Schizosaccharomyces pombe: one gene and its partners. Changing the gene in region 1 together with any one later gene gives a genetic interaction. Each region holds a gene or a part of one and is shown on either strand. Other genes may lie near its edges. The genes, in order: chk1, crb2, cdc17 and rad3.

The links.
Region 2: of chk1 (region 1) and crb2, a mutation in one rescues a mutant of the other (synthetic rescue), as found in Schizosaccharomyces pombe (4 studies listed by BioGRID, with this or other methods).
Region 3: mutations in chk1 (region 1) and cdc17 are lethal when combined (synthetic lethality), as found in Schizosaccharomyces pombe (6 studies listed by BioGRID, with this or other methods).
Region 4: of chk1 (region 1) and rad3, a mutation in one rescues a mutant of the other (synthetic rescue), as found in Schizosaccharomyces pombe (3 studies listed by BioGRID, with this or other methods).

Annotation. Positions count from the first base shown.
Region 1 is NC_003421.2:1,056,759-1,066,694, reverse strand, and holds chk1 (protein kinase Chk1), read right to left. Parts: upstream 6,900-9,936; 5' UTR 6,676-6,899; coding exon 6,608-6,675; intron 6,563-6,607; coding exon 6,321-6,562; exon of another isoform or gene 6,275-6,320; coding exon 5,846-6,274; exon of another isoform or gene 5,808-5,845; coding exon 5,600-5,807; exon of another isoform or gene 5,554-5,599; coding exon 5,364-5,553; intron 5,319-5,363; coding exon 5,022-5,318; exon of another isoform or gene 4,977-5,021; coding exon 4,920-4,976; 3' UTR 4,711-4,919; coding exon of another isoform or gene 2,500-4,710; 3' UTR 2,252-2,499; downstream 1-2,251. Other genes in the region: protein Meu27, read left to right, coding at 2,500-4,710; ubiquitin-conjugating enzyme E2-C Ubc11, read left to right, coding at 6,958-7,052, 7,101-7,128, 7,179-7,268, 7,438-7,673, 7,724-7,805; gid1 (putative Ran GTPase binding protein), read left to right, coding at 8,506-8,770, 8,815-9,456, 9,504-9,908.
Region 2 is NC_003423.3:4,206,541-4,214,077, forward strand, and holds crb2 (DNA repair protein), read left to right. Parts: upstream 1-4,426; 5' UTR 4,427-4,546; coding exon 4,547-6,883; 3' UTR 6,884-7,037; downstream 7,038-7,537. Other genes in the region: 1,3-beta-glucanosyltransferase Gas4, read left to right, coding at 1-1,077; proteasome regulatory subunit rpn1301, read left to right, coding at 1,758-1,837, 1,878-1,959, 2,026-2,739; histone lysine acetyltransferase Rtt109, read right to left, coding at 7,100-7,537. UniProt on the Schizosaccharomyces pombe protein: Essential for cell cycle arrest at the G1 and G2 stages following DNA damage by X-, and UV-irradiation, or inactivation of DNA ligase. Plays a role in the response to DNA damage.
Region 3 is NC_003424.3:1,386,207-1,394,053, forward strand, and holds cdc17 (ATP-dependent DNA replication ligase Cdc17), read left to right. Parts: upstream 1-1,678; 5' UTR 1,679-1,737; coding exon 1,738-1,820; exon of another isoform or gene 1,821-1,860; coding exon 1,861-2,368; exon of another isoform or gene 2,369-2,430; coding exon 2,431-4,146; 3' UTR 4,147-4,411; downstream 4,412-7,847. Other genes in the region: mitochondrial dihydroorotate dehydrogenase Ura3, read right to left, coding at 1-635; SPOM_SPAC20G8.02 (DDHD family phospholipase), read left to right, coding at 4,431-6,704; itr2 (plasma membrane myo-inositol transmembrane transporter), read left to right, coding at 7,690-7,847. UniProt on the Schizosaccharomyces pombe protein: DNA ligase that seals nicks in double-stranded DNA during DNA replication, DNA recombination and DNA repair.
Region 4 is NC_003423.3:900,358-907,919, reverse strand, and holds the start of rad3 (ATR checkpoint kinase Rad3), read right to left. Parts: upstream 3,737-7,562; 5' UTR 3,556-3,736; coding exon 1-3,555. Other genes in the region: peptide-methionine (R)-S-oxide reductase Mxr2, read left to right, coding at 4,348-4,764; SPOM_SPBC216.03 (uncharacterized protein), read right to left, coding at 5,235-5,978; dynein-anchoring factor Num1, read right to left, coding at 6,939-7,562. UniProt on the Schizosaccharomyces pombe protein: Serine/threonine kinase which activates checkpoint signaling upon genotoxic stresses. Involved in G2 arrest following DNA damage where it phosphorylates chk1.

The DNA of each region.
Region 1 (9,936 bases):
TTGAACCTGCGCGCGGAGACCGCAACAGATTTCTAGTCTGTCCCTTTAACCACTCAGGCATAGTGTCCTTTGTAAATTCAAAGTTATACATGAAGTAATAGGGTATAATAACTTAGTCATATATGCATATTACTTAAACTGATAAGGTACCACATTATGTATATTTCCTCTGCTTGACCAGCTTTTGTGTATTCCCACATGTGAGATTTTATGACAATCTATTCTTACACTAACGAGCAATTTCTTTTTAGATAAGCTTAGTGTAGCAGTTGATATTTTGGAAATTGCGTGTTAACGAAAGGCGGCTTTAAAGTGATTTATTAACTGTTTGATAGCGTCATTATCAAAAAAATTATGCATCTTCGTTGATTTGGACTAACAATAAATGTTTCCAGAAAAAAGAAGTTTTATACTATAGCTTTTAGTAAAATGGCTTTTCTTACATTTAAGCTATTTTGCAGATTTCAAATTATTATCATTTTTAAAATATTGAACTTTAATCATTAAATCAACGATGAAGCAAAGTTTGCAAACAGAGTCCAATTGAGGAAAATTAACATGTCGTGAACTAATTTACAGTAAATTCTATAAATTCCTCAAGATATTTTGGATTCGCCAAATAGTAATGAAGAAGCTAAAACACATGTTAGTAGTGTTGTATCGGGCAGTTTGGTTAATTCGAACAAAAATCTATGGTAAGTGGTCTAGCTTTTTAATTAACGAGGTAGCGTAAAGCATTTGTGAAGGTTGCGAAATCTGTGGCTCTTCATTACTCAATTAGCCAGTTATTAAACTACGCTTATACCAGATATAATAAGAGTTAGGCTAACATCTGGTCGTGTGGTTTAGATGGTTATAATTTCTGCTTAACATTTACAGTTCGCAGACGGTCCCAAGTTCGAGTCTTGGCACGATCAATCGTTTTTTAGTTTTTAATTTTTTTACTTTTAAAAAAGAAATTATATCTGCTTTATTAATTAACGATTCTTTTGGAATGAAATCATTTTTACTTTTTTAAATAAAATGAGATCAGCAATTTTGGTTGGATTAAATTTTTTTTTTTATTTACTTGTTCCATTGTAGTTCTCATTTTTTTCAAAAGTGTAATTACTAATTATCTGTTGTTTGTAATTAATTATTTTCGCATCGGATTTAAATAAAAAAAAAAAAGAAGAGGGAAACTGTAAAAATAATTATCTTAAGAAATATTAAGTGCTGAAAAATATACAAACAAAAACTGAATAAAAAATTTAGTTAGTTAATGTTACTAATGAAGCTAGTTTGAAGTATTTTTGAGTATTTGGACTAAAAAGAAAGATAGTTAATAATTAATTTAAAACAATAGAAAAAACAAATAAAAAAACGGAGGAAAACTCAACAGTAGTAAAGGCGTAACAATTATTTGCAGTGGTAGTAAATATATATATATATACATATATGTATGTATGTTGTATTTGTATGTATGTTATATTTGTATACTATGATAAGCGTGGGTAGTATCAAAGTGCGTTGGAAAAGAATAATAGCAAATAGTAAAGGAAGTAATAATCGACTAACATAGAGTAAAAATCAACCATGGGCATGTGGTGTAGATGGTTATCACGCTTCCTTAGCATGGAAGAGGTCCCAGATTCGAGTTCTGGCTTGTCCAAAATTTTTAATAAATAATGTGTTGGTCACGCAATATGAAACTGGAAATTTGATATTCGTACTAACATACGAACGAAAATAAAACACTTTCTATTTTCTGAAATTTTTACTTCAGAAAGATATTTTCGGGGGTATTCATGAATCAATAACTTTTGACAACATAAATACAATATAATTCGATCACTAAAAAATAACTTCTGTTTATTTACAGTTGCTAGTATTCCACTCTTTTTCGTTTGTTTATTTACACATTATTTTCCTTTAACTCAGAATTGCGTTAAATGATTCTTTTCGAATGTATAATTGCAGCAATGTTGATTTGTTTATTATTTTTGTTTACAACATTATACTTGGTTGTCTTTAGTAAATCTTGCCTCCTTATTGGTTACAAGTCAAACATCCATTGTAAATAGTGAGTAATTGGTGTTGTTTATTTAGGCTTAGTTCAAAGGCTTAGCTAAGGATATTATTACTATTCAGTTAATCTAAATCCTTTGTTATTTGAGCTATTTATCCAGGATGCAAATGGTTAGCGAAAGCTTTTATTTTTAAATGATCATCTTTTAGTAATATTAAATGTTTACTTAACACTTTTTTAAGCAAATGTTAGGTGAGCATCAAATTATCATTCGATGTTTGTTTATTGTGAGGGATTTCATAAATTATTAGTTATGATAAAACAATGTGTTAATATAAACGAAATGAATTGTTTTTTAATATAAATAACCCAAGGTTGAACATGTTTTACCCAACCTTTGTATACACTTCAAGAGATTGAACACGATCTCTAATTACTGAGTTATCCAACTGGCAATCACTCAAGCCTCAAAAGAGCCAAGTAACTTCGTAATGAACAGTAAAATTGCTTATCCAGAGATTAAAATATCAGGTGCCTTTCGTCCTGATAAAATACAGGAAAAGGGAAAAAGTAACCGATGTGATACTCACTGCTCTGGTAGCTCTTGGACAAGTTTTAAATCAAAGATCCTAAAAATTTGCGCTCCTCTCTGCTGTATGGGTTCTGATAACGATGAAAGCATGGCAGAAATGCCATTAGAACCCCAAGTTGAGCCAAAATCAATAGAGAACAATTATACTTTAAAAAAAAAAAATGAAGAAGGCTTCTTAAGTCAACAGGAAAATAAGTCTTCAAACCAAAATCCTTCAAAGGCTAATAACCTTTTCGACAAGCTCGGCGTAAGCAAGCCAATAACATTCATAGCTTGTATACTGCAATTGGGCGGCACCTCTTTTATGGAATCAGAACTCCAGACGAAACTTTCAACTATTAATAGCTCGCCGTTTAAAAGTTTATCCCAATACTGGAATGCTGCATACAATAAAAAGGAATCAATATCATCTTCAACGAATAGTAACATCAAATTACATTTGGCAGCTCGTAAATACCAAACAAAACCTGAAAAATTTAACGAAAATTCTTCCATTAGTCAGGTTACATCCGCAATAAAAGCAACAAAGGCATTTTCGCATTTAACTCAACCGAAGAGGGCACTATTGAAAGAAAGCAATACGGGAGATAAAGATATATTTAAGCCTCGGTATCCACAGCTTCTAAGCTGTAGATTTACAACCTTGAGCAAATTGGCGCCAATTAATAATTCCAAATCAGCACCTAAAGGTACCCACAAACCGAACCACTCAGAAAATGCTGAATTAAAAGATATAAAACAGAGCTCTGAGCTTTCTGACTTATCACTATCTTCACAGATTTTATATCCCGAATCCACGACTTTAAGTGAAATATCGCCGATATATGATTCTGAATTAGCAATTGAAAATATACTCGAATCTAAGTGCTTTGAAAATGAACAAGCCATAATAGAAGGAGTAAAAGATTTTACCGAATTTCCCGACCTAGAAGAAACACAGATTATATATTCCGACCTCATCGCTTCCAGTGAAGTATCGCCAATATATGATTCTGAATTGAAATATGAAAGTGTACTCGAATCCAAAAGCTCTAGAAACGAACAGGCTACAATAAAAGAAAAAAAAGATAATGAAAGGGTCCTCGACTTGTCACAGCAATGCACAAAGTTTCTTTTCAGTGACCAAAAGGTTATTACCCCAAGCTTTTGCAAATTTGCCCAAGTATCAGACATGTGCTCTACTGAAATTCCTTGGGTAAACTTCTTTTGTGATAACCTAGATATATGTATCGAAGATGTTCAATTCAAGAGTAAAGCCTTTTTTCCACCTACAGTAACTATTACCATCTTTGAGCACGAAGATAAAAACTTGATGAATGTCTTCGATACTAAAAATGGAACATCAAAAACATTAGTGAAACCTCAAATAACTAATAGCTGCCTTGAAAATATGCTATCACTTGTAAACAAGAACAGCTGTATTAAAAGGCTTCACTTAAAGTTGTCTAAAGGGATAATGGACATCAAGGTATTAACTCATCAGCTAATGCTATATGATCTTTATCCTCCTGCTCACCAAACATATCTATGGAAAGCATTAGAACGACTAGTGAATGAAAAGGTGAGTTTAGGAGAACTAACACCTGTTCACAAAGTAGCAGCCGAAAAGAGAATAGGAGACATCCGGATGCATTTAATTGAATCTTCGGATATATACGTTGTTACTGAAAATCATCGCTGGCTACATATCGTGTGTGAGGGCTTTAACTGTTTCTTAGAGCTTCCCGAAGTACTTCACGGAAAGAAGTTTTTAAAAGTAGATGAGGCTACAAGAGAAGACATGTTAATGTCTGCAGAGACTCCAGACGATATTTTATGGATAACTACATTGATAAGTACTGGTTCATCGATGTCACATTTTCCTTTGCATGCTTACCTGGAAGCCAAAGAGAGACAAGAATTCACAAAAAAGAACCTTTTACTATTTTGTAAAGAAGATGAGTTTTTATACTCCGACCAAGAAAATGAAGACCTTTTAGAATCGTTTGAAAGAGTTATTTCAGAAGAGTTATCCCTTTTAAAATCAAATGAGCCGTCAGATATCTCACTAAAAAAGAGAAAAAGAAGAAAGAATTGTGAGAAAAGAATATTGGGTACAATGATGTATTAAACGGCATGGCCAGTCGGAAGAACTATCCTTATGCTAATAATATATCTTCAGCATTCGCAACCATTGATATTTGCTTGACAAAGCGTTAATAATCCTATTCCCTAGGATATCATTTGTACTACCACAAAATTGAAAATAAATTCACAACGAAGTCAAACAACAGGTTTCTTTTACAAACGAACTGGCACGACCTTTCAAAAGATGTGCAATTAATTTTGTGAAACATCTGTAAGAACAATCGGCTTCCCTATTGAACTGACAACGTTCTTTCACATGGATTAGTATATGAAATCCCTATGATAAAGACATACTTTAAAAAATTTTCTCCATTCAAGAGGATCCCCATTACGCTTTATAAAGTTTATAAGCTCTAAGTTATGGCCTAAATTAGTTAGTTCAATAACACCTTGCAAGAGACATTTCCGTTTATCATGTAAATTAACATAAAGGATGGTCTGATTTCGAACATATTTCATAGTCACTGAGATTGCAAGTAGTCGTAGACTGTCATAAAGATGATCTATAATGGTTTCTCTCGACGCCCTAGAATAAAACCTAGTGAGTCTTTCAGGAGGACAAATTTCGTAGAAATTCTTAGCCTTTTTGGCCTTTTTCATATAGTTAGAAAAAATTTAGGTTTAAATAAATAATACCAATCTTTTAATAAAACCTTCATTCTCACAAAACTGACTCAATGAGGGGTCTTTTTCAAGGATTTCAGTAACGTCAATATTTTTATTAAGTTGTACTGGCTGGGATAAGGCGCCATAAACTTCTACACGATCCAACTCCTTTTGGTCATTTTTTTTAAAAGCTGGCTGTGTCATTGAAAAACCGCTATCGCTAATTGAAAGAGTTAGAAATATGAAACAACTGTGCAAGATCTTACTTTTGAGATGCTCTAGATGAGGCAAGACGTGGTTTATCTAAATCAATACGAAGTTTCAACATGAGCCTTGATGCCAATGCTACAGGATCGGCACAATTCCCATTTTTAGTTCGAAATGGTGTACTTGAGGTAAGCCATGGGTGCTGTACAACATGTTTGACAGAGTAGCGCTTAAATGGATCACTTCGAAGCATTCCGGTGATAATCGCTGATCATTAGTTTAAAGGAATTTCAGTCAGGACTTACAATAGGCTCCTGGAGACAACAAGTTCCATGGGTGGTAAGACGGGCGTTCACATTGTTTTTTATAAAGCAAGTAGTCACCAGTGTTGCTAATTGCTTCATCCCAAGGTGTGTTGCCTAATAACAAAGCAAAAAGAATTATACCGCAGGACCAGACATCAACTTTTGAACCATCATACTGCTGTGTAATTTCTGGAGCAGCGTATGGTGGACTACCCACTGGACTATTCAAAAGCCTACTTTTACCTTTATAGGAAAATAAAGATGCAAAGCCGAAGTCTGAAATCTTTAAGTTACCATTGTAATCTAAAAGGATGTTCTCAGGTTTCAAGTCTCGATGCGCGACACCTTTAGAGTGCATGAAGGAAATACCTTCCATAAGTTGAGCAAAATAAAACTGAGCGACGTCCTCATCAATACCTACATCAGGCTCTAAATTGTAAGTCCGTTAGTAAAAACGAAAGGTTCATGCACCCACCTATTTTGTCAAATAAGTCACCACCTTGAGCAAATTCAAGTACTACCCATCTCCATTGGGGATTTTCTGCTGTATTATAAAAATGAATGATATTTTTATGTCCATTGCATAGTTTGTGAAGTTGTATTTCACTAGCCATCCTTCTAGCCCATACCCCTGCATTCATACAACTAGTAGCATGTTTTTTATTGACAAATTTGACAGCATATATTTTAGCATTATCATCGTAACATAAACGGACGCTTGCTTAAGTTAGTATATAGTATTTTTCAAATCAAAATTCATACGAAGCAAAAGCCCCAGTACCTATTTCTCTACCAATATGGTAAGGAAAGTTATCTAATTTTTGAGCCATTCTTTGGTGTAAAGGGAAAGAAGATTATAATATAACACAAGCATATGTTGCAAATTTTGGCATGTGTATTATTTACAGTCTTAACATCATCAAAGACTGGAAAAGATTAAATTAAGGTAATTTTTAAATGAGTTTTAAATCTATATAATGATATAAAATTGGACTATAATTTGATATCCGGTTTTCGTTTACTTGTGTACATTAGCACATGTTGTGTTGTGTTTATAACTTACTCTCCTACCACCACGTACTCATTGAGAAACTACAGTAACAACTTGAGGAATGGATTCTGATATGCAAAACCAGAACCCTCATACTAATTCTAAAAACTCTTCTTCTGCTGGCATGGCTGTTGACGGTCATAGCGTTACAAAACGGTAAAAAATAAACAGTTTTTAGGAAAAAAGTCTCTAATGCATTTGTAGATTGAGAAGCGAATTAATGAGTTTAATGGTTTGTAATAAGCTTTTTTACTTTGTTATTAACTAGGGTTTTATGACTAGATGTCCAATACTCCTGGAATTAGTGCGTTTCCAGATTCTGATTCTAACCTGCTACATTGGGCTGGCACAATTACCGGCCCAAGCGATACGGTATGACTTTTATTTTGAAAGCTTAATATTTAAAGTATATGAATAATGCTTGGTGTGCTTACTTGTAGCTGCACTTTAATGGAAAATTAATACACATCTTTGTCATTACATTTTCATAACTGTCTACTCTTCTTTCTTCTTTTTCATACGACTAACGTAACGAAAATAGTACTATGAAGGATTGAAATTTAAAATTTCAATGTCATTTCCAGCTAATTACCCATATTCCCCTCCAACTATCATTTTTACTTCACCAATGTGGCACCCCAATGTCGATATGAGTGGAAACATATGTTTAGACATTTTAAAAGATAAATGGTCAGCAGTCTATAACGTACAGACAATTTTGTTATCTCTACAAAGTCTGCTGGGTGAGCCAAACAATGCTTCTCCCTTGAATGCTCAGTATGTTGAAAATATCTCATTTACCTTTTTTGATTATTAACAATTCTTAGAGCTGCAGAATTGTGGAGTAAAGACCCTATCGAGTACAAACGTCTTTTAATGCAGAGATATAAAGAAATCGATGAAATTTAGTTAGGCCGGTCTATTTCATACTCATTTTCATTTCTGTTTAGTCATATGGATTTTCTTTTCCTATTCAATGCTTGAAAAAATGTCTTTAGTTAAACTTTCTTCATTGATAATGGAAGTTGAAATTATTTCATCTCATCGATTAAGCAATTCCTTCATGCAATGCCACAACCTCCTGAAAACCACCGAATGGTTTTTTAAGGACCGTCTATCATTATTTAGTTCCAGAAGTTGAAGTTGTTATTATGATGCTCGATTAAAGCTATTCTTGTTTAATGCATTCCGTTAATGCAGTCGTTTTTTTAGCTTTCCGTTAGATTATAATACTATTTTATTATTATTGATTCTCAATGTCATTGTGTTATGTATTATCGCAAGACAAGTATCAATGTTATGTTGTGCCTGAATTTTTTTCTGATTAGTAATAGGACTGTATATACAGCCTAATATTTGTATTTCTAATTTTGAGCCTTTAATCCTTATGAAGCCGTATAGTGAAGTATCTTTTCAGTCTCAGAGCATTTTATAGAGTTGCTGAAATTTACACGTCATTTAAAAATTTAAGAGTTTTACCAATTATTATTACAAAAGATTTGTATTTAATTACAAAAGAAAAACTGATTAGAAAATTGAACATTTAAACTGATAGCTGAATAAGCTACTAAAACTGGCTGTTTATATGCTACCAAGAGCATACCTGCGAATGACTAGTACACCAAAGAATCTTGAAAAACAGCCGATTAACTTCGACAATCTCCCCTTGTATTTACAAGGAACCAATTACGGAGAAAATGTGCTTAGAAGTGACCCACGATGGCTGAAATGGGAGAAGTATTTACGAGAGTTTGACATGACAAGGGAGGGCAATGTAACAAATACGCCGAAAGCCATTCCATCTTCATGGAATCCCAACGATAAGTCAGATTCATTAGAATTGATGAATAACAACATGGGGGTTTATTTCTTTGGTTCGTTGTATTAATTATAATGGTTTATAACTAATCTTTAATAGGTCCTGAAGCCGGCACTGAACATGATGCGGCGTCTGTAAAAGCTGATCATGCAATTCCATCAAACACTTCTATCTACTATTATGAAATTCAAATTTTATCTCGAGGAAAAGAGGGAAAAATGGGTGTTGGATTTTGTCGGAAGAGCATGCAAACTAATAGGCTTCCAGGTTGTACAGCAGAAAGCTGGGGATACCACGGAAACAGTGGTGAGAAATTTAATTGCTCTAAAACGGGTGAAGCTTATGGACCTGAATTTACCACTGGTGACATTATAGGCTGTGGAGTTAATTTTATCAACAGGACAATTTTCTACACCAAAAATGGTGCCTATTTGGGTGTAGCATTTAAGAAAGTCAGCGACGTTTTGTACCCTGTTATCGGATTGAAAAGTCATGGTGAACATGTTGAGGTTAATTTCGGACAGAACCCATTTCTTTACGACATTGATTATGCTATTCAAATGGAGAAAAACAAATTATTTGAACAGGCAACTAAGTCACCAAAGCAGGAAGAGTTAAAACAGCGTCAAGAATTTCTAAACGAGCTGATTTCATCGTTTCTGCTCAATAATGGATTTGTTGAAACCGCCAAGAAGTTTTGCCCAGAGAACACCGAAGTCTCTGACGCAAGTATTAGAAAAGGTATATTTTCGCTTTTTACTGAACAATATGACATTGACACTTATTAGAAATTAGTTCTATGCTTGCTAATGGCCAGCTCGACCTTGCTATGACAAAAATCGACTGTCAATATCCAGTTGCTATCCAGGAATGCCCTGACCTTATTATGTCTTTAAGATTTTTACGTTTCCTTCAACTAGTGAAAGTGACTCATGATCAGCGGCTTACCAAAAGTAAAGGCACCAAGCAAATCTCTCAAGAAGAAGATTTACGTATACTCCAACCTTTAATGAATTATGCTCAAGAACTTTCTAATGATTATGAGCATACAAAGAGCAGCAACTTGCAGGCGATGATTAAATTAAGCATGGGATTGCTTGCATATTTTGACCCATTTTCAAGCCCATTATCGTTTTTTATGAGTAGCGACTTTCATAAATATATGGCAGAACAAATCAATTGCTTATTACTGGGTAAGTTAATCTCAAGACATGAAGTGAT
Region 2 (7,537 bases), on another chromosome or scaffold:
AATGCGTTAAGTGAAGCAGGCATTTATGTGATCTTGGATTTGAACACCTATAGGCATTCAATATCTCGTGCTCATCCTGCTCTATCTTACAACAAAGTTTATCTGCAACATTTATTTGCTACTATAGACGCATTCAAAGGATACGATAATGTACTAGGATTCTTCTCCGGCAACGAAGTAGTAAATGACGAAGACACTACCGCTATTACATGGGTTAAAGCGGTTACTAGAGATGTGAAGGCATACATTAAGAAACATAGTGATCGGCATATTCCAGTTGGTTATTCTGCTGCCGATGTAGCAGAAAACCGTTTACAGCTAGCTCATTATTTTAATTGTGGAGATGAGAGCGAACGAGCAGATTTTTATGCTTTCAATATGTATGAATGGTGTGGATACTCAAGTATGACTGTTTCAGGTTATTATGATCGCATCAAGGAATTTAGTAACTATTCAATTCCGCTATTCTTGTCAGAATTTGGTTGCAATACTGTTGAAATAAACGACGATACGACTCCTAACCGACCTTTTACGGAGATTGAAGCAATATATTCACACGATATGACCCCAGTTTTCTCTGGTGGTCTGGTCTACGAATATTCAGCCGAACCTAATCATTATGGATTAGTCGTTATTGACAAAGATGACGAGCGTAGAGTGTCGAGAAATTTTATAACGTTGATGAAGCAATATGCCAAAACTCCAAATCCAAAAGGGGATGGTGGTTATAAAAAGGCCGGATCGCCAAGTAAATGCCCTGCTAATTCTACTCAATTTAACGCATGGGAAAAATTACCTGAAATGCCGGAAGGTGCAAAAATTTACATGGAAAAAGGTGCTGGCGAACCTTTGGGAATTGAAGGTCCAACGAATATGTGGTCTCCTTTTCACGATGGTGACGATGATGAATCTACCTCTCGACGTCCCAAGCCAAAAAACAAACCATCTAATGTTACTAGTACAACTAGTTATACATCTGGCATGACTAGCTCCTCTGAAAGCGGTTCATCGAAAATTGGCGTTGCTTTTTGCCAAGCACTTTTTATTACTGTCCTTATCGCTACCCTCAGCTTCTAAAAAAAGAATTGTTGAAATTTAGAGCTTAGCTGAATGACTTGTTTCAGTAATTCAATTGAACTCTTCTAAAGCCGATTTGTTACAAGACAATGCTAACATTTCCAGTTACAATTTAGTATAATTAAATGAAATCATATTGTTTATCATTTACGGACGTTGAAAGGATTGCTAATGTAGTATTTGTCTGTTCAAGTAATTTTTGGTATTCCTAAAGAACCAACTTCATTATGATTCAGGGCTTAAAGGGTTATAGGAATTAACATATTTTTCCTTTAAATATCGTATTGACTAAGAATTCACCTAATATAAATAGCGAATTCAACGCTCAATTGCAATCGTAGGATCTGAAATATAACTACTTAATTGACAGCCAAAGATAATTCAGAATCTAAATATGCTGTATTTACGCTTTCTCACAAACGTAGTAAGGTATCATTTACATAACATTATTAAATATTTGATTATTTTATTTTATAAGTTATATTTATTTTTCCTCGAAGCTATCATACTACCCAAATTAAGCTATGTTTGTTTCAAGGATAGGATTTTTGCAGTGTAATCAAACGTTATTGTTAAACAACGCAACGAACTACAACGAAAGCTAGAGCTTCGTGGTTTCGACACAGTACATACAACCTGTCTTTTGCATTTCGCAGTTTAAGCAGTTTGCGATTGGGATAATGTCGTTGATAACTTTCAAAGCAGGAAAGCTTCGCAGAGTTCCAGGAACAAAGCTTTTACGTGCTGACCCAGAAAAAGGGTATGCTCGCATATTATGTATGATAGCTAACAAATCACAGTTATATAGTCATGAATCGGGACGCCTATGGATTAATTCATTTTCAATGGGCAAAAAGGAATGATCTTGAAAATCCCGAGGATGTAAGTATCACTTTCAATACCACCTGTAACACATTAAAAGTTCTAGTCGATACTAACCAAGTTTAGGATATAATTGTATTTTCTTCTGAGTGTACATTTGAAAAAGTTACGGAATGTACCACTGGGAGAGCTTACATGCTCAAATATCCTTCTAGCGCTCATAGCCTATTTTACTGGATGCAAGAAGCCTCAGACGATAACGATACTTCTTACGCTGAAAGAATTAACAGCTACATTAAGGATCAAGATTTATTAGATCCGGCCCGCTCTGATGTTGCAACGGTTTCTGATATGATGGAAGTGGATACTGTTGAGCAATCGGAACCTATTGCTCAACCAACTGAATCTTCAAAAGAGAGCTCCGAGATTGGAGCCCCGAACAGCGATGAAATTAATTCATCGGAAGCTGTGAGGAATCTATTGGCTACAATTTCTGCTCAGGCTGGATTTGGAGGTAGTACAGTCGATCTTTGCGAAATCCTCAAACCTTCGAATTTAACCGATCTTTTATGCCAAGAAGGTGTTATTGATCGACTCATGCCTTACATGCCTCCTGATACCCCAAATAATTTGGAGGGGGTTTTGGCTATTGTTAGTAGTCCTCAATATGCTCAAGCTTTGAGAAGCTTTTCTCAAGCTTTAAATTCTCCTGGTGGTGTAAACATTATTTCAGCACTTGGTCTCTCACTCGACGAATCTGCCAATCCTAATGAGGGAGGTGCTCTGCAATTTCTTAAAGCAATTGCTCGCTTCGTGAGCAGGAATAATGGTTCTGAGTAATGTCTTCGATTAAGTAATTCGTCGTATATCAAAAATTTCTATTTAAAATATTATCCGTTGAATCGTTTCTTTATAATTCACTGACGATTCGTATTAAAAGTTTTTAAATTGAGCATTACTGGCGTTCTTTTTTTTTTTTTTAAATAAATATGGAGGAATTAAAATGCTTTCATGGTAGGATTTGTCCTCTTACCAAAATGAGTAAGAGTAAGTTGGAGTACACAATACAATGTTGCTCGCTCAAAATGCTCTTTACAGAATGTTTATTGGTACAGTTTCATTTTTTCTCATATATGAAATATTTGTTTTAGGAAATAGGCAATCTTTATTTTTCTTGCATACAATGCTTATCTTTCCTAAACACTTAAGATTTATAAATGCAATGTATGTTCATGAATATGAACTGCGAGCGCCAAGGATGAATTACATTAGGACGACTAAAAATGAGAAGTTGCACTCCCGAAGTATCTCTACTTCATACTTCATTATTATTTATGCTTTATATTGATTATTGTTGTTTTACAAAATATGTTTTATTTCCAAAACAGTTGGTAAAATGTAGGATATGTAATGTCAAATACATAATACCAACATCTATTCTTAATAAGTTAGAAAGTTGAACAGTATTGAAATGATTTACTAAAGCTAGAAAGTAGCCAACTGTAAATGGTTAAAGTATTGACGTGTAGTCACATTCAATTTTTGCGCAATATCATTGAATTTCAAATCTAACGATTTTACTTTTGTAAACAGCCAAAAAAGTGGTCATAAAACGGTCAGGGAGGGACTCGAACCCTCGACCTCACGATTAACAGTCGTGCGCAATAACCAACTACGCTACCCGACCTCGGTGTCATCCGTTACATTTAGTAATATATATTGTTAAAAAAATAAAGCGTAGTAAATGTAATTGCTTTTTTGAGCTATGGCTTGTTACATTCTTTCTCTTGAGCAAATTTAGACTTGCTCATTACAATCATAATCGCTTTATAACGTCTATCTGCTTGTCTTCATTTGCATGAAAAAAAATCATATAAACAATGTATGCGGATAGTCAACTCAAACAAAATAGTAGTAATTAAATAGCAATAATAAAGAAGGAGCCTACAGCACCCCGGATTCCCATGTTGTCTCCAACCATAGTACTAACGAGGCCCTCAGACGCTTAACTGCAGTGATCGGACGGGAACTGGTGTTTTCGCCTAGGTATGGCCGTAGACAGCTGTTAAGTTTTAATAAAGTATATAAACGATAGTTATCACTCATTAGGAATTCGAATGTATGTTGGCTCCACTACGAATAAGATATGAATGTTAGCAATATAACCTGAAACTATATTTGACATTCTTTTTTTAGAAATATCATTAAACAAGCAAAATCTATTTTCTATGATTGTTTCAAAAAGTCAAGATGAAAAGTTCAAAACTCAAATTTAAAATTACTTCTTCAACATTACTGATTCTAACAACATAAATCTCCTATCGAACGTATTAATAAAAGTGGAAACATGCTGTAGTTTGTACATCAGGTCAAACAATTATTAATAAAATTAGAAAATAAGTTTTTCTACCTTGAGCCCTTCATTTCCATATTAATATATATATATATATGATTAGCCAAATAGCTGGTGTTGTAACTAAACGTTCTTAACTGCTTTCATATAAAGTAACGGTGCAACGTGTTACTTATGCAGAGCTTACAACAGATAAATCGAAATTTGGGTTAAGCCCTGGTTAAATTTGTAGTTCTGACAATTGTGAGGTATTTTAGATGTTTTCAATATTTTGTTTGAAAGTTTAACAATATTATGGAGGTGAATGATACCTCTTTGCATAAAGGATTTGGCCTTGACATAAATTCTCAACGTGTATTTGGAGCACAAGCAGCAATTTCTCGTAACAATTATTCAAAAGTGAATGCTTCAATTAATCCTTCCCCTCCTAGGAGTAATGATAATTCTAATAAGGAGTTTAGTTATTCTAAGGATGTGAATAACAATGGTGCTGTTGAGGAGCTAAGTCTTACGCAGTTGTTTGAAGTACCTAGTCAAGCTGCTTTTGCAAAACAGAGTTCCCAGGACATTTCGGATGATGAACTTATTCAACATGATTCTCGTAAGGTGATATCGTCGCCTTATTCACCCAAGCAGACACATACAGTGTTAAAACGCTTATACGATCGTCAATCAGTTATATCGGACCATGAAAAGCTGTTGACTCCTCAGAATGTATCTAATTCTTCCCAAATTCTTTCCCCATTTACTTCTCTATTACCATCAACTCTTTCAACTTTAAAAGATACACCTTTGTCAGTTTCTCAAAATGAGAAAAACTTAGAAACCGTTGGAGAAGTCCTTGTACCTGAAACCGTAGCTCAACATAGGACAAAGTTTTACGATTACACTTTGGATGAGATGGAAAATGAGACAGAAAGCGGTCAAGTAGAGACTACACCTACTCGACTGGCGACTTCTCTAGGGTCTCCCGTTCTTTATGGTCGAGTAGAGTCCACTCCTCCTGCTTTTTTACCAGAGACATCCGAAAAACAATATAAACGAAAATTTAGCTTTACTGAGCCCTCGTCTGAAAAAGTTGATAATACGGAAACCAAGTTTTCAAAAAAAACTAAAAACATTAATGATGAAAACTTTCCTAATCCATTTAATGTGATTTCTTCATATGAAACAAGTGCTTCACCGTCGACTGTAATAGATCAGTCTAGTCAAGTGAGCTCAATTTTTGTAAACAAACGGCTGAGAAAATCGGTTAATAATCAAGCTATCTCAAGGTCTGACAGCCTAAGCCTGGATACTCCTAAAATTGATAGTTTATTCACTAGGGCTTCTATTAAGCCATTAAAACCTTCCCAATCACCGAATTCAAGAAGGTCTTTTAAAAACCGTGTACTCGCTTTTTTTAAAGGATATCCCTCTTTTTACTACCCAGCAACTCTTGTCGCACCCGTACATTCAGCCGTAACAAGTTCCATCATGTATAAGGTTCAATTTGATGATGCAACTATGAGCACGGTTAATTCAAATCAAATTAAGAGATTTTTTTTGAAAAAAGGAGACGTTGTACAATCCACAAGATTAGGAAAAATCAAGCATACTGTTGTGAAAACATTTCGATCTACTAATGAGCAATTATCCCTTATAGCAGTGGACGCTCTAAACAACGACATGGTTATTTTGGCACACGGAGAAATTGAGGTTACGGTTCCCATTTCTACTATTTATGTTGCTCCTGTGAACATTCGGCGGTTTCAAGGAAGAGACCTCAGTTTTTCTACTTTAAAAGATATGAAGTTTGAGGAAACATCATTTCTTCCTTCACATGATTCTCAGAGAAACCGCTCTTCTTTGAAAGAAAGGGATTCTTCCTTTGTCAAGAAGAACTTGGATTCAGAAAGTAATCAGCTCATCTTTGACGATTGCGTGTTTGCATTCAGCGGTCCCGTGCATGAGGATGCCTATGACCGAAGTGCATTGGAAACTGTAGTTCAGGATCATGGAGGATTAGTTCTTGATACAGGCTTACGCCCTTTGTTTAATGACCCGTTTAAAAGCAAACAAAAAAAGTTACGCCATTTGAAACCTCAAAAGCGAAGTAAATCGTGGAATCAAGCTTTCGTTGTATCTGACACATTTTCTAGAAAGGTTAAATATTTAGAAGCTCTAGCTTTTAATATCCCGTGTGTCCATCCTCAATTTATTAAACAGTGCTTAAAAATGAACAGAGTTGTTGATTTTTCTCCTTATTTATTGGCATCTGGCTATTCACACCGTCTAGATTGTACACTTTCCCAACGGATAGAACCTTTTGATACCACTGATTCTTTATATGACAGACTTTTGGCAAGGAAGGGTCCTTTATTTGGAAAAAAGATTTTATTTATTATACCTGAAGCAAAATCTTGGCAGAAAAAGATTGAAAATACAGAGCAGGGTCAAAAAGCTTTGGCTCATGTCTATCACGCGTTGGCATTGGGTGCTGACGTTGAAATTAGACCAAATGTTGCACATTTGGAGTGTGATTTGATACTTACGATGGATGGAAACATTGTAGATGAAACTAATTGTCCGGTCGTTGATCCTGAATGGATAGTCGAATGTCTTATTAGTCAGTCTGATATTTCTACTTAGTTTTGGTTTTTTGATATAGTTATTTTTACTAACTCCCCCTGAGTTTCACTCTCATTAATTTAGCTTTTTATTAATTTTAGATATTTGTTGTTTATTAATTTATTTGCAATACTGACGAAAAGTGTCAATTTCAATATTAAACAAAAACTTTCTCTAAAAATCTACATGAGAGGATTGATTGGGATTATTAAAAATTTTCAACGAACTTAAAGTCCTTTATTTTTTCACTTTTTTTCGTGGCTGTAGAATATTGGCTTGCGTAGCAGGTTTCGAATGGTTGTGATTTTTACGATCATCACGTTTTGCCAACCCACATATATCTAGCTTGTAGCGCTTATAATGAAAATCCTTTAAATTTTGTACAGCGGAAAGTGTGTTACTAAGAAACTTTTCTGTTGACGACTGTGCATCAGATAAAGAGCCAAATGGATGCTTCAATAAAGTATCGTAAGTGACTCTGTATAATTTAGCTGGAATCATTACACCAGAATCACCAAAATTATCTTTAGCAATAAATTCTCTTGTTTGATAGAACTGTAGCTGTAATGTGAAAAAGCCAACTAGTTTACCTGAGGAGCACTCTTGTCTATAAGTCAGCGTATCCCAAAACTCTTCAACGGACATGTCACTTTTCTCATCTTGAAGCTCGCATAA
Region 3 (7,847 bases), on another chromosome or scaffold:
GAAGCGGGATTTGCATCAAACTGTTTTAATAGTTGAGGAGATGTCTTAGCAATGTATTTGCGAACGCGCTTTTGAATCTTAGCAAGGATGGCATCATGGCCGATAGAATTAAAACCGTAACGATTGATTACAGACAAATCAGGCTTAAGGCGGAAATAGCGTGGTTTAGGATTACCAGGTTGAGGTTTAGGTGTGACCGAGCCAATTTCAAGATAGGAAAACCCGAAGTTCAACAAACCTGAGATAGCATCGGCTTGTTTATCGAAACCAGCAGCTAGACCAATGGGATTGCAAAATTTCTTACCCCAAACTTCAACGGCAAGAGATGGATCATCAGCTACACGATCCTTCGGTGTTATACCCCAAGAGGCAGCGAGAATGGCGACACGATGAGAAAACTCAGGAGTGGTGAAAGCATGAAAGAGAGGCATTTCAATGCGGCCATGGATAAAACTACGAACATCGGACATGTCGTAAATGGCAACGCCGGCAGTAAAACTACCAATAACACTCAAAAGCTTCCAATGACGGAGAAAGAAATTGCCATTTGAAGAGCCAGAGCTGGTAGATTGAAAACGTACAGAGGAGCGCTTTAAACCCTGAGCGACACCGCGAAACAAAGATCGTTGATACATTTTAGTATTTTTAATAGAATTCGGCTTAAATAAAAAATTTTCAAAACGAAATTGAAAAAAATATGAATGATAAAATAATAAAATGAAGTTTTATAATAGTTTATGCTTAATATATTTAAACACCAGTTTTTTTCCAAACACAACAAACCCAAGAAAAAATAAACAGAACCAAAAAATAAAAATATGGATTTAAGGATCAGAACAGAATCGTCAATCCGTTTCTTTATCCACCTAGAGACAAGAAGTGTTAATTTATATAAAATGGAGAACTTGGTTCTAATAAGATTTCAACGAAAACAAAGATTTCAGAACCGAAAAAATTTCTCCAAGTGCTAGCAGAGGTATATTCTCTGAGAAAGAACAAAAATCAAAAATTGAATGTTTATATTGAATGTTACCTGTAACAGGTAACATGTTTTTTTAGTAATGCCGGGCTGTCGAAATTTGACTATGAGTTTTGTAAATAAAGCGATGGTTATAAACAATTTTATGATAGTTTTTGCTTTCGAATTAACATTTCATAAAAAATTTGAAAAAGAAAAATTTTAAAAATTTAAGGACAAAATCCACTTGAAAAACAAGTGCGAACAGCTTTTTGCAAAAAAACTACAAACCACTACACATTAGCGAATAAGCCTATTAGGAATTTATTTTAATTTTTGTTGATTTAAATTTCTTTTTTTTTTAAATGGTTAGAATCTAGTTGATAAACTTCTAGCAATGTATTTCCAAATTGTTTCTATTACGTTCGTTGATACAGGCAATTGTTCATTTCTGGTATGACTAAAGCATTTCTATACAATTCAACTTCTCATTTTTTCTAGCTGTATTTATGATGTACAGAGCGTTGGGAGAGAGTTGATTAAGTCAATAGTATTTATGAATGAGACAAGGAACACTCATACTATATCAATGATAAATAGCTTTTATATTATCCTGTTATAATCATAAAAATTAATTTCATCTATATAGACTTAGAAAAAAATGGTTTCGTTTTCACTGTCCTTAAACTACAAATATCGTACACGTGTTACTTGTTCTTCAGGTGTACCCTCACTATTGTCAAATCTTATGAAATTCTTTACTCGTTGACTTGATTGTTATGCGAACAGTATTTTCGCAAATTCCTCGTTTTAAACAAGTCAATCAGTACATACGGATGTCGACAAGGCAGTCAGACATTAGGTTTGTTAGATAGAAGACAGACGTTGACTAACCCATATAGCAACTTCTTCATTTCTTCTGCTTCGCACAAAAGCGAGCACGTGGAGGTTTCTCAATCGTCTTCTGATTCCAAAAATGTTGATGGGAGAAGCACAAGCGAAAAGAGAAAGGTCGAATCAGTGAAATTAGTCGACGAGTCGAAACACAACAACCACGACGACACTGGAACTCAAAATGTTGAGCGTGAAAATAATATTGTGTCTGAGGCAAAAAAGCAAAAGACTTTAGGTTCATCCTCCTCTTCTTCAGATGCCGTATCTAGTAACAACGATTCTGGGGCATCTACTCCAATACCTTTGCCAATCAAAGAACCACCGTTAGAGTCCAATGCTCGCAATGATAAGTTAAAAGGTCATGCAACATTTGCTGAAATGGTAAAAGCATTCACAAAAATAGAGAATACTAGCAAACGGTTGGAAATCATTGATATAATGGGGACTTACTTTTTTGGAATTCTTCGCGACCATCCCAGCGATTTACTGGCCTGTGTGTATTTAAGTATCAATAAGGTATGAACGTTTGGTTTTAAAGGATTTCTCCTTCTCAGTACTAACGTCTTTTTTTACATTAGTTGGGCCCAGATTACTCGGGACTAGAGCTAGGAATTGGCGAAAGCATTATAATGAAGGCTATTGGAGAGTCTACAGGGCAAACGCTTCAACAGATTAAACTATCGTTTCACAAAGTTGGTGATCTTGGTCTTGTAGCTCAAACATCCCGTCAAAATCAACCCACTATGTTTAAACCTGCAGCGCTGACAATTCCATTTTTATTTGACTCATTAAAAAAAATTGCTCAAATGAGCGGAAACCAATCCCAAAATAGAAAAATTGGAGTGATCAAGCGGCTATTGAGTTCCTGTGAAGGTGCAGAACCTAAATATTTGATTCGAGCTTTGGAAGGCAAGCTACGCCTCCAACTTGCCGAAAAAACCATTTTAGTAGCATTAGCAAATGCCACCGCTCAATATCATGCTGATAAGAATGGAGAAAAACTTTCGCAACAAGACAGGATTGAAGGAGAGCAGATTCTTCGAGATGTTTACTGTCAACTGCCTTCATACGACCTTATCGTTCCTCACTTGATTGAGCATGGACTTGGTACTTTGCGTGAAACTTGTAAATTAACACCTGGAATCCCAACAAAACCCATGCTGGCTAAGCCGACGAAACAAATTTCAGAAGTTTTGAATACGTTTGATCAAGCCGCATTTACATGTGAATACAAATACGATGGCGAGCGCGCCCAAGTTCATTTTACCGAAGATGGGAAGTTTTATGTATTTTCTAGGAATTCTGAAAACATGTCTGTTCGCTATCCGGACATCTCTGTTTCTGTATCGAAGTGGAAAAAACCAGATGCTCGTTCTTTTATTCTCGATTGCGAAGCTGTCGGTTGGGACCGTGATGAAAACAAAATTTTACCTTTTCAAAAACTTGCAACAAGAAAGAGGAAAGATGTGAAAATTGGGGACATTAAGGTCCGAGCATGCCTTTTCGCTTTTGACATTTTATACCTAAATGGGCAACCTCTTTTGGAAACCCCACTCAACGAGCGTCGAAAACTACTTTACTCAATGTTTCAACCAAGTACTGGAGACTTTACTTTTGCTAAACATAGCGATCAAAAGTCTATTGAATCCATTGAAGAATTCCTTGAAGAATCTGTCAAAGATTCTTGTGAGGGTTTAATGGTCAAAATGCTTGAAGGCCCGGATTCTCATTATGAACCGTCAAAACGTTCCAGGCATTGGCTAAAAGTTAAAAAAGACTATCTTTCTGGTGTTGGAGATTCTCTGGATTTGATTGTAATTGGCGCATACTACGGAAAGGGTAAACGTACTTCTGTTTATGGTGCCTTTCTTTTGGGCTGCTACGATCCAGATACCGAAACAGTTCAATCGATTTGCAAACTCGGGACTGGTTTTTCAGAGGAGCATTTAGAAACTTTTTACAATCAACTTAAAGACATTGTTATATCTAAAAAGAAAGATTTTTATGCTCATAGCGATGTACCTGCGCATCAGCCTGACGTCTGGTTTGAGCCTAAGTACTTGTGGGAAGTCTTAGCTGCCGATTTATCTTTGTCTCCGGTTTACAAAGCTGCAATTGGATATGTTCAAGAGGACAAAGGAATCAGTTTACGTTTTCCAAGATTCATTCGTATTCGGGAAGACAAGAGCTGGGAGGATGCTACAACAAGTGAACAGGTTTCAGAATTCTATCGTTCGCAGGTGGCTTACAGTCAAAAGGAAAAAGAAGGGTCCCCAGCTGCCGAAGATTATTAAGTTTGTAGCTGAGAGTTACTGCTGAGAGCTACTGTCATAATAAAGGGTAATGTTCGGCTAAAATTTGCCCAAAGAGGCTAATATGAATTATGTTAAAGAGACAGACAAATTGAGTTTATGCTCTAGCTGATGGCTATTTCTCTAGCTTACTACTATTTATTTTTTTCTAATTGTAATCCCCTGTGGCTAAAAAAAAATTAATAATAAACAACATTGAATTTCCAAATTATAACATTAGATTGAAAATTTGAATCTTATTTATCCCTTTTTATTATCCTTTTTATATGATTTTATACATTGTATTACCATTTTACGTTCGTACCAAGCCTTACTCTATTTTGCCGTCATATTCCTCCTTACAGTGGATTACGAATGCTTGGTGTTCATTACCGTCCATATACATTTTATGTCACTGTAGCAAACACCAAGAAGAAATTACAATATTGGCTTTAAAGCCATTAATTGCTATGAATAATTCAGAAGAATGGCCATTGAAACATGTGCAACCGCCCAAATTGTCATTTCGTCATTTGCTATCGAGATCTGTGACAGATGCTCCTTCATTGCGGGTACGTTGGTTCTATGCGGTAGATAGACCGCTTAGGAAATCAAGAACGGGACCGACGGAAATTAAAAAAGCAAAAAATTTTTTACCTTTTTCAGCTGAAGACTCGGAGCACATCGAAAAAAGTTATTTAAAGGCTGTAGAAAATGACGGTCAATCTGAACCGGTCAATGTGAATGAGGATTATTTGTATTCGGTGAACGTTGTTTCAAGAGAACTCTCACCAATATACTGGGATGGTCCCGTTTACCGGATACTCAGGGGAACGTGGTTTTTTAGTCGTGGGGATAAACTGTACCCTTGTGAGGAAAATCTAGCGACACAAGTGGAAGAAGGTTATTTAAACAGTTGTCCCTATCGAGAATTTTCGAATGAAAAAGACTCTGCTGCTGCACAATCAAAAACATGGGCCCTCCTTGGAAGGTATACAGGTGGATTCGTACAATACACTGGCAGCAGGAATGCCCGACTGGTGTATGATGACTTTTATCGTAACGTTTCTGTGAAAATTATGAATCGGTTTTCTCCTGCTAGCTTTCACAGAAGTGATAAATTGGTGCGAGGCTATGAACTGGATATGTTGGAGTCGAATTCGAAGCCGAGTACACCTGTCCCTACTGAGGAATTGACTTCTACCACTCTTTTAAACGATTCTTCAGATCCAAGTGACAACTTTACACCTAGTAATACCGAAAGTACGATAGACCTTCCATCCGCGACTGATGCCTCTCATTTAATGTCAAGACCCGACCGGGAAGTTAATCATCTAATATTGTGCTGTCATGGCATCGGTCAAAAAATGGGTGAACGTGTGGAAACTGTCAGTTTTGTAAAGGATATTAGTAACTTTCGTAAAACTTTAAAAAAAACCTTTAATTCTTCTCCAGACCTGCAAGCTGTGTATCCCAAACTGAAGGGAGGTGGAAACGGTGTTCAATGTCTGCCTCTGTTATGGCGTCAAGACATAAGATTTGGCATGGCAAGGGACCTTGATTCGTCTTTTGCGGACGATGATGACGATGATGATGAATCATTGAACATGTCTAGAGATCTTGCATTAGACGATTTGGAAGACGATTCCATTCCAACTTTGGATAATATAAATATCCCTACGGTTACTGGATTGCGAAACATTATTTCGGATGTTTTGCTAGACGTCCTCTTGTATTGTCAGCCAAATTATCGAGATAAAATTTTGGCAGCAGTGGTGAAGCGACTGAATCGTCTGTACAATCTGTACAAAAAAAATGTCCCCTCATTTAATGGCCATGTTTCACTTCTTGGACATTCCTTGGGGGCTCTAATTTTATTTGATATTATACGTTACCAAGGAAATATCAAATACTCAAAACTGCAACTTGACTTTCCTGTTGCAAACTTTTTCGCCTTAGGTAGCCCATTGGGATTATTTCAAATGCTGAATGGTAAAAAAATTGCAGGTCCTATTCCTAAAACGAATTTGACTCGCAGTCTAAGTTATTCTGAGCAAAGTTTCGATTCGGGTGTCTCGATCCTTAGCTGTCAAAACTTCTATAATATATTTCATCCCACTGACCCCATCAGTTATCGTGTAGAGCCATTGGTGGTTAAGCAAATGGCCCGCTTAAAACCTCAGAAAATTTCTCACTTTCGCCCTCATCAAGACCTTTCAAGTTCTGGTGTAGGGCATAAAATTGCCGGTGGTGCTCTGAATGTTCTTTCTGGCCTTCGATCTGGTATTGCTAATACCCTAATCTTAAAATCATTGAGTTATGCTTCTGTGTTTAACGAGGCCACCGCTGATTCTCACGATGAATCACAGGGAGCTGAAAACATTCGGGATTGGCATATTGATGAGCGAATGTATCGATTGAACAAAACGGGACGTATAGACTTCATGCTACAAGAAGGTGCACTAGATACTTCTTATAGCTATGTCTCAGCAATGAATGCTCACTCTGAATATTGGAAAAATGTTGATCTTGCTCATTTTATTCTAACCCAATTACTTTAATACTTTTTCGAATTAATGCAATGGTAAACATTCTTTCCTTCCTTTTCTTATCTAAATTTTATTTTAATGTTTTACCTTTTATGTACGACTAATTCAAATGAGTTTAATAGATGAACTTTCCAAACAAATTTTACCTATTGATTTAAGAGAGAAGGCTATTAAAAGCGCCCATGACTTTGTAGATAGATTGATTGCTTGTATAAAATTTGACACAGTAATCCTCCTAATTTTTATGCGAAAACAATAAATCTTTTATAGCTTTGGCATCTGCTTGCAGGTACAAAAGTTGGGGTAAAAAAGAACATTCCAATATCATTTTGATAGTAGTTGCTTTAGTTTCATAGCAAAATTTTCCAAGAACAGGACATCAATTTCACCTTCTCATCCTCTAGCATTAAAATGTAAAAAAAAAAGGTAGCGATAGAAAAAAAACACTAAATAGCAAATTAAGCTTTTTTCTACTACCAAGGACTCTTAAAAAGTCCAGTTTCTATATACGTTGACCATCTCGTATTTCTGTTAGAGACAACTTAAACAAACGCAACGCCATTCAGTCGTTGGAAGAAGTACTATTCGTTCTTACAACGATAACGACATGCTGTCGAATTTGCTGCTTTTTTCGGACCCTTGTTGAGTTTCTTTGTTCCCCACCTTTTGAACATATATATAGACCCCTCGATGGCTTAGTTGATTTACTGAACCTCAACTCCGAAAAGCGTATAAAGTCGGGCAAATCTCAATTTCTTCATTTTTAATACTTTAAGAAGTCATAAAACGTGTTAAATTAGTTGATACACTGTTTTATTTGATTGAAATTTGAGATTAAGTTGGTTATTGTGGCTTGTCCTTACAAACTGTATGCTGATTTAGTTTGGAGCTCTTGTTTGGTTACCAAGTGCTTTATTAGCACGGTCGTTTAATTTTGTAAAAGTTTTAAATTTTAGAATAATAGTTCTTTAACTATTGCATTTCGTATCTGGCTCAAATGGATTTCAACAATATTCCCCTTGCGACCATTAAGTCCAGCGATGATAAGGGTAAAGACTTTATCGTGGAAATGACCACTCGTCCTTCTGAAACCAAGAAGAAGGTTCCTTTTTCTGAGGACATGCGTGAAATCCCTTCTTTACCGAACGAGGAAGA
Region 4 (7,562 bases), on another chromosome or scaffold:
CTTTTTTTTATTAATCACTGCGGACTTGAATCCACCAAGCTTTAGAAACTCTTGCAGAGCATAGGCAAGAAAACCTTGTGCTTTAGTATCAGTAGTAACAAGGAAAGCTGGAATTAACTGCGATTGCATAAAATCTAGAATAAACTTCAAACTTTCTTCTCCGTTTTCAAAGTTATCAAGAACAACTGTTTCTTTAATAATATGTTGAGCCTTGGCGCGGCTGGGATCTATCGCACCCAATTCACCAAGATTTTTTGCAGCAAGATATGATATTTGCATATTTGTTGAAGCATATTTTACACAACAATCTAAAAGGCATCTTAGTAATTGGTCCAGAACTTCGTTGGATATGTCCAAATTTAGTGTGTCATGTAACTCGTCCACCTTGGCTTGAAAAAAAAGTTCTAATTTTTGTAAACCTAAATAACAAACTGGCTCATTTTCGTTAGTTAAACACTTAATTATACTTTGAAGCTCAGAGTAAAAATCTTCATTTTGAAGCGAACAGAATATTTCTTTAGCCTTAAGGCTAAAGCACGCTGAATCCAGACTGGTGGGGATAGCCCACTTTAATCCTTGTAGGCACTTGTGTGTGTCAGAAGAAATAAAATCAAATATTTGAATTACTAGCTCTGCTTCTTGTGGTTCTAAATAAGGGAATAAAGGAGGTAAAATTACAAGACTTAAACCAGCAATTGAACTATACTCGGGCTCCTTGGTTGCTAATATCAAACTGAACCAAGCTTTGATTGCATAAAACCTTAAGTGCTCATTTTGAAAAGCACTTTGTAAATTAGAAAGTATCTGTGGTAATCCAAGTTTGACTGCACCTCCACATAAAGATAACATTTTTTCAATGCCGACAATTGTCTTAATCTTTTCATTAATTGAAGTCTTTCCTTTCAGGTCGTTAAGGATATTAGAAAATTCTGCTAAGATACCCAAAATGTGATTATTAAAAAAATCATAAAGTAATTCCTTATTGCTCAAGTCTTCGTCATTAACCACTTGAGAGACAATCATTGCTACCTTTCTTAAAGCATTTTCAATTTTTTCATGAGGAACATCATTCTGATAAAGCTGTAACAACTCCACAGTAATAGAAATAGGATCAGAGCGTAACAAAGACGTTAAATCAACTTTTTCAAAATCAGAAGTGGCCAGTGAAAGAAGAAGCATCACACTCTCTTCCAAATTAGGATGATCCGTAGTAAGTAGCGAAGCAAGGATTTTATGCATATTGGTAAGGCACAAAGTAGCAACATCACTTTGTGAAAGTTCAGCTATACGTACTATTAACGCTTTGTTTTTAGTAAGTACAAGGAATGGTAAAGTGTACGCCTGTGTTCGAATAAGAAAATCGCCCTCGGAAATATTCATAAGCTGAGCAAATAAACTGGCTATGTTCGGTTTTTTACCCATACCTTGGACAATCGCAACGGACACTGTTGGCCAATATGGAGAAAGTAATTGCCAAACGGATATATGACGCGTCGAGGCAATTTGTTGCAGAGCGCTGAGACCAATGCCTTGATAAAATATTCCGCTGTTTATCACAGAAGATATAACTTCCAATAGTACAAAATGTAATTCTTCTTCTTCTACCACTCTAGATAAGGAGATCCAGGAAAGAATGACCGTTTCTAAAATAGCTGTATTTTCCACCGCCAATATTTTCAACGTATTAAAAATCAAGGCTTTACTTTCCTTGTGAAATTCAACTATATCAAGATTATTAGGTCCCTTAATGAAAATGGGCAAAACTTTTGCAGCAACAACACGTAAACATCTTGAAGTACTGGCTAATGCTTTCATAATAAATTCTCTTAAACTTAACATTGATTCTTTATTAAAGTTTGAGCAATGCTGGCTCCACCGAAAAAAGCCATCAAGCAACAATGATTGTTTAACAGAAGAGGAAATTATGTCGGGATTTTTTAGCAATGCACAAAACAATTCGTGATAAGGAATTTTAAAGAGCGACCGCTCATCAAATAGTAAACAAAATGAGTTACAAACTTCACAACCATGTACTTCATATGTGCGGAAAATACTATTTGTTTTCTCATTCACCTTTGCAACATGAGTACACAAAACTAAAGAGAAGTTCTTCAGGTCGTCCTCACTTATTGTAACATTATGAGAGCTATAATAATCTAACATTTCACGAAAGTGCTTTAAATTAGACGGTTCATCTAAGTTGTTGTTTATACACCATTTTGCAAATGTACATATGTTATGACCATTCTGGAAATCCACTTTAAGAATATTTGACAAGTCATTGTCCAAGGAAAGATAATGTAAAAGAAAAAGGTTTAATTCAGAGTTAGAAAACAACGTGTTTTCAAGTTTACCAGTACAAATTTCGCCAAAAGCACGGAGAGTTGTTTGATCTATTTCTGAACTTTGGTATCTGCACTTAAATAATATTATTGCCTTTTTGAGATCAGAATCTGGTTCAAGTTGCTCTAATACCTTGAAGTCAGAAAGTAAGGAAACCCCAAAAGGATAGAATAGACCAGCTACAGTTTTGGGTAAAACAAATAAAGAGAGAAAAAAAAGAGATATAGCAGTATTAGCAACTGTATAAGTTTTCTTCAATGATCCCAATGTTAAGTTGATGGAGGACATTAAAATATGTTTAGATTTTTCACAAATGGGAAGGCCATGATATATAAAATTCAAGGAAAAACAGCATAAAGTTTGGACTATACGTGAATGCAAATGTAGAAAGAGCTGTGAGTCTCCGATGCTGATTCGTTTTAATAAAATAACAAAATTAAAAAAACATGGCTTGATCCAAGTCCACGCTGTAAAGAGAGGTGGACTAGGAAAATTGGATTTCTTTAAATATGAGCATTGTGCAAAAAAATGGGCACTTTCAAAGAAAAATGTACAAGCCTCCTCTATATTAATGATAAGTAAATCAAATTTGTCCTCTCGATGGGTTGGATAATTTGGGGTGATACTCTGCAATGGTTGAGAATTGGGTGAGGGCATCTTGTAAGGGAATGTAGCATTAGTGATTTGGAGAACTATAGAAGAAACGTTTGTAATATAATATTTCCAATAACGCATAAACGAAGCATATAAGTCCCATAGGAATGACTTTTCACTGATTAGCTGATAAATTAGCTTATGAAACTCTTTTAATGAGTCAAATAACTTAATAAAACGAATATCAGCAAACAATGATATAGTCCTGGGTAAAATCCAATCCAAAAGAGTAACAGATGATTTAATCTCCCGCAAAACTGTCGGAGACCTTTTTAAGATTAGCATTAACGCTTGTAGAGAGAGATGGGCTTCTTTTAGCATCTTAGGAGAGATAAATTCAGATTTTGAATCATCATGTTTAAAAGCTAGAAGACCAACTTCAATTAAAACTTCAACAAGCTCGGAGGTCATAGATGGTAAAGAATTACTTCTACCTAACTCATGTTCTTTGTCTAATGCTAATACTTCTTTCAAAAGCTGTCCGAAAGCCTGTCTGTCATCTAAGCCTCTGGGTGAAAGATCGAGTGACCCAGCTTTCCTTTTTGCGTGTTGGCTCATACTATATCAAACCATTGATTCAATTCAAAAAAAGGCCTTTTTAAAACGCAACACGCGCGTTCAAAGTCTTGAGCATTTATAAAAGACGATTGTAAGTAATAAAATATCTCAATAGAATTATGCGAAAAGTGGCAATCGATTATCAAATCGATTTCCACTCACGAGGTAAAGGAAGATGCATGGTGCACTAAGTATCGAGCGATGCTAATTAACGAGCTTTTGTGATACTGAATTTTCAGAGGAAACTAACTTTTAAGTAATATTAGGCTGGATGTTTCTGATAATGATTGAATTTTTTGACTTTTGATGTGATTATAATGGTCAATAAACAAAAAAAAAAGTTATTGTTGAAAGGTAGTAGGAGAGAAAATAAGCTATTTTACGGCTAATAAAAGAAGAAATGAGTTTTAATTCAATTATTTCTTAAATAAATAATAAGAAAATATTGAAAAGATAAGTTATAATCGCACATCCTAGTTCTCATTGACTATAGCGTCAGTGGAGCGTCATACGCAGGGCATTGGTTCACTAGATCGCGGATTCTTCTGTGTTTTATACTTACTAAGCAGTTTTTACTTGGTACCTACCTATTCACATAAATAGTGGTCAAAAAGTCGTTTACTTACTTGAAAATTTTTGTAGTGCCAGTTGTGGTACATATCGTCTTGTGTTTTCATGAAAAAAGTGATTACTACACACTTTTCAATCTGTGGAAATACGAAGTTTACGAATCTTTTGAAACGTGCATATAACGTCTCCTACCCTGTCCAAAACGTCAAAAATAATACAAAGATGGGATTTCCATTGGAAAAAAGCGAAGATGAATGGAAAAAGGAGCTAGGTCCTGAGAAGTATCGAATTATGAGACAAAAGGGTACTGAGCACCCAGGTGCAGGACGATTCACTCATCAGTTCCCTAAACAGGGCGTTTTTGTTTGCGCTGCATGTAAAGAGCTTCTTTATAAAGCTAGCACAAAGTTTGAAAGCCATTGTGGATGGCCTGCGTTTTTCGATAATTTACCTGGAAAGGTGAAACGCATTGAAGACAACTCTTATGGAATGCATCGTGTAGAAGCAGTTTGTGCCAACTGTGGTGGTCATTTAGGCCATATTTTTAAAGGAGAAGGTTATTCTAATCCTACTGACGAACGCCATTGTATAAATTCGGCGAGTTTGGAATTCCATAATGAGGCAACAAATGACAATTGAACTAGATTATGCTTAATATTTCTGTATTTTCTTTATTAGATGTTAGCACCAGTTCGAATTGTTTGTGCTTGATGTACGGCTATTATTTTATTTAAAGTTGCTTGTTCACGTTTTGGTTAACTTCAATAAAATGCATTTACTTTTAACATTTTAAACTAATATATTTTGTTTTCAAAGAGTGTAGTAATCTCTAGGTCAGAAATTAGATTTACTAGCCGTATGTTATAACTAAGCTGCTTATGCCAAAGTTAATAAACGATAACACAATGTTTACACTACCTGATATGATCTTCCATTTATTTCAACTATAAAGGGTATAACTAAAGTATCCCTCACTTAAATATTTATTAATTTGCGTACGCTTCATAGGTCATTGAAAAATTTTCGTTCTTTTTTCAGAAGATTTTAAGAAAGGAGTAAAAGATGCGTGGACTACAATAATACGCGAAGGATCCGAAAATGTCATTACATTATACTGAATAAGTATAGGATGATTCTCCTTTTACGACGAATCCAGCAATGGCTTTATATATTGGCACATTTCCATCCGTCATGTCAACCACCAAATGGATGGACTGATTATCAAGAGCGAACAGTAGTACAGTACGCGCGACGTTTTCACGAGACATCATACAATTTATGGATATCTTACCCAATGCAACTTTTCCAGAACCCTTCTCGTCTGTCATACCAGAAGGACGTAAAATCGTCCAATCAATATCACTAGAGCGTCGCACTAATTCCTGATCCGCTAGGTACTTGTAATGGTAATAAGTTCCAATTGACTGATGTATTTTCTCACTTAGCTCTATATCAGCAGCCGTATAGTAAGGAGGAGGAGGTTGGCTCATATCACGATTATCTATCGCAGATATCATAATTAAGCGTCGAATACCAGCTATCCTCATAGCATCATAAACTTTTATAGCACCTTCATAATCGACGGCTCTTGTTCGTTCAGGGCCGCCTTTACCTCCTGCACCGGCTGCAAATATAACAACATCAGGGTGTATTTCAGCTAAAAACTGAGCAATATCATTAGGCGTCGCCTTCTCAAGTGAACAGACAGAAGTTCTGCCATGCACTTTTTCAATGTCTTCATTCTGAACATAATCACGTACAACATTGTAAACTATATGGCCAGCTTCTGTAGCAATTTTAGTAAAAAGCAAGGCCACCTTTCCATGCCCTCCAAAAACAACAAAAACAGTCATTTCTTACAAAATAAAAATGCTGACGATGATTTCTTTAACCGTTGGGAATCAAGAATCCAATATATCCTTCTCCCTTATTGAAAAAGGAACTTAATTAGCTGATCCTTTGAATAAAAGCAATGGCAATTGTTAAAATGAGTAATTTTTAGAATTGGAAATGCTGTGTATCTGTCAAACCCCTCTTAAAAAAAGAAAGGAATAAGGAAAATGAAAACAATCTACAAAATTGAATCGAAGAGACACACCACAGGGAATGAGCAAAAGCACGGTTTACCTAATTAGTAGTACCGAGTTAATTATGTGACGTTTTCAGTTTTTGTATGGTAAGCTCTAATAGTTTTAACATGATGTAACGATGCAGTAAAATAACTAGCCAGATATATTGTGCTCTTTTTAACTTTCGCTAAAAGTTCTTGGGGTAATACACGGAAAGTGCATCTGGGCACTAAAATCATTTAACAGGTTGCTTATTATTCATTCAGTAATTGAAAGTCGCCCAGATTTGTTATGTTTACCAGTAATAGCAATGTTTAATTCTTTGCACATAAAACTCCGTCAAGGTTAAGTCTGAATCTTCTTTTGCTTATACGGGATAATTTGTTTTGATAAAACTAACATTATCGATGTTACCTTTAAACGTTAGTCGTCTTTTGTTTGCTATTTAAATGTCTCGTATGATAAATTGATTGATTAAAAATGAATTGTATAGAAAGAGCAATTTTTTCGACAAAATAGGAAAGTATATCATCCTCATTAGTGCATGTCGAATTGCAATAAAGCTTGATCGTATAAACCTCATTTACAAAACTGATTAAGACATTTGATTCTTAGTTGTTTACAGTGGTTTAATATCTTTCTATTTGATGCCGCTTAATAAAAACAATTGGTATAACTTTAAAAGTTGTTAGGGAATATTGAAACAGTTTACTTTAAAACTTATAAGCAATGACTGAAACATGCTTAAATGCCGGGCTTAGTATCAAAGATAGCCTTATGATTTATTTGTTTGATAGCTTGAACCCAGATATTGTGAATTTTCTTGCTTTTCGCTTTTAAGACGATGGGCTTATCAGTTGTCTGCATCACAATAACTTCATTATGTAAATTGGCGTTCTTTAAGGCATCTGGGGCTTTTATAATAGTCATTCCCTTAATTTTCACAGACTTGACTTGATTTTTCCTTCCTTTTTCAATAAATGGATTTGTTTTAGACCAGCACAGCATTTCACAATGCGGGTTAATCCAAAAATAGCGCCAATGACTCTTTTTAAACATTTTGAAACTCTCACTTCTCGGGTACTTCATCATTTCGTTTCCCATCATGACATGTTTCATCAATTTGTTCACAGAATTTGCATTACAAGTTGAAGAAGATAAACCTGATAGATTCAAATTATCTCTGCATTTTTTCGTATTTGTTTTGCTTTTGAGATTATTGCGAGGTAAGGTGAATACGTCTGACACCGTCGACAAGGAAATAGAAATCGTCGTAGCCGTACTTCTTGCTTTCAATTGACGTGCTGATTGCGAGGAATCATGCCGAGTTTTTTCAACTTCAGCTGTTGGATAAGTACGAGTATTCTT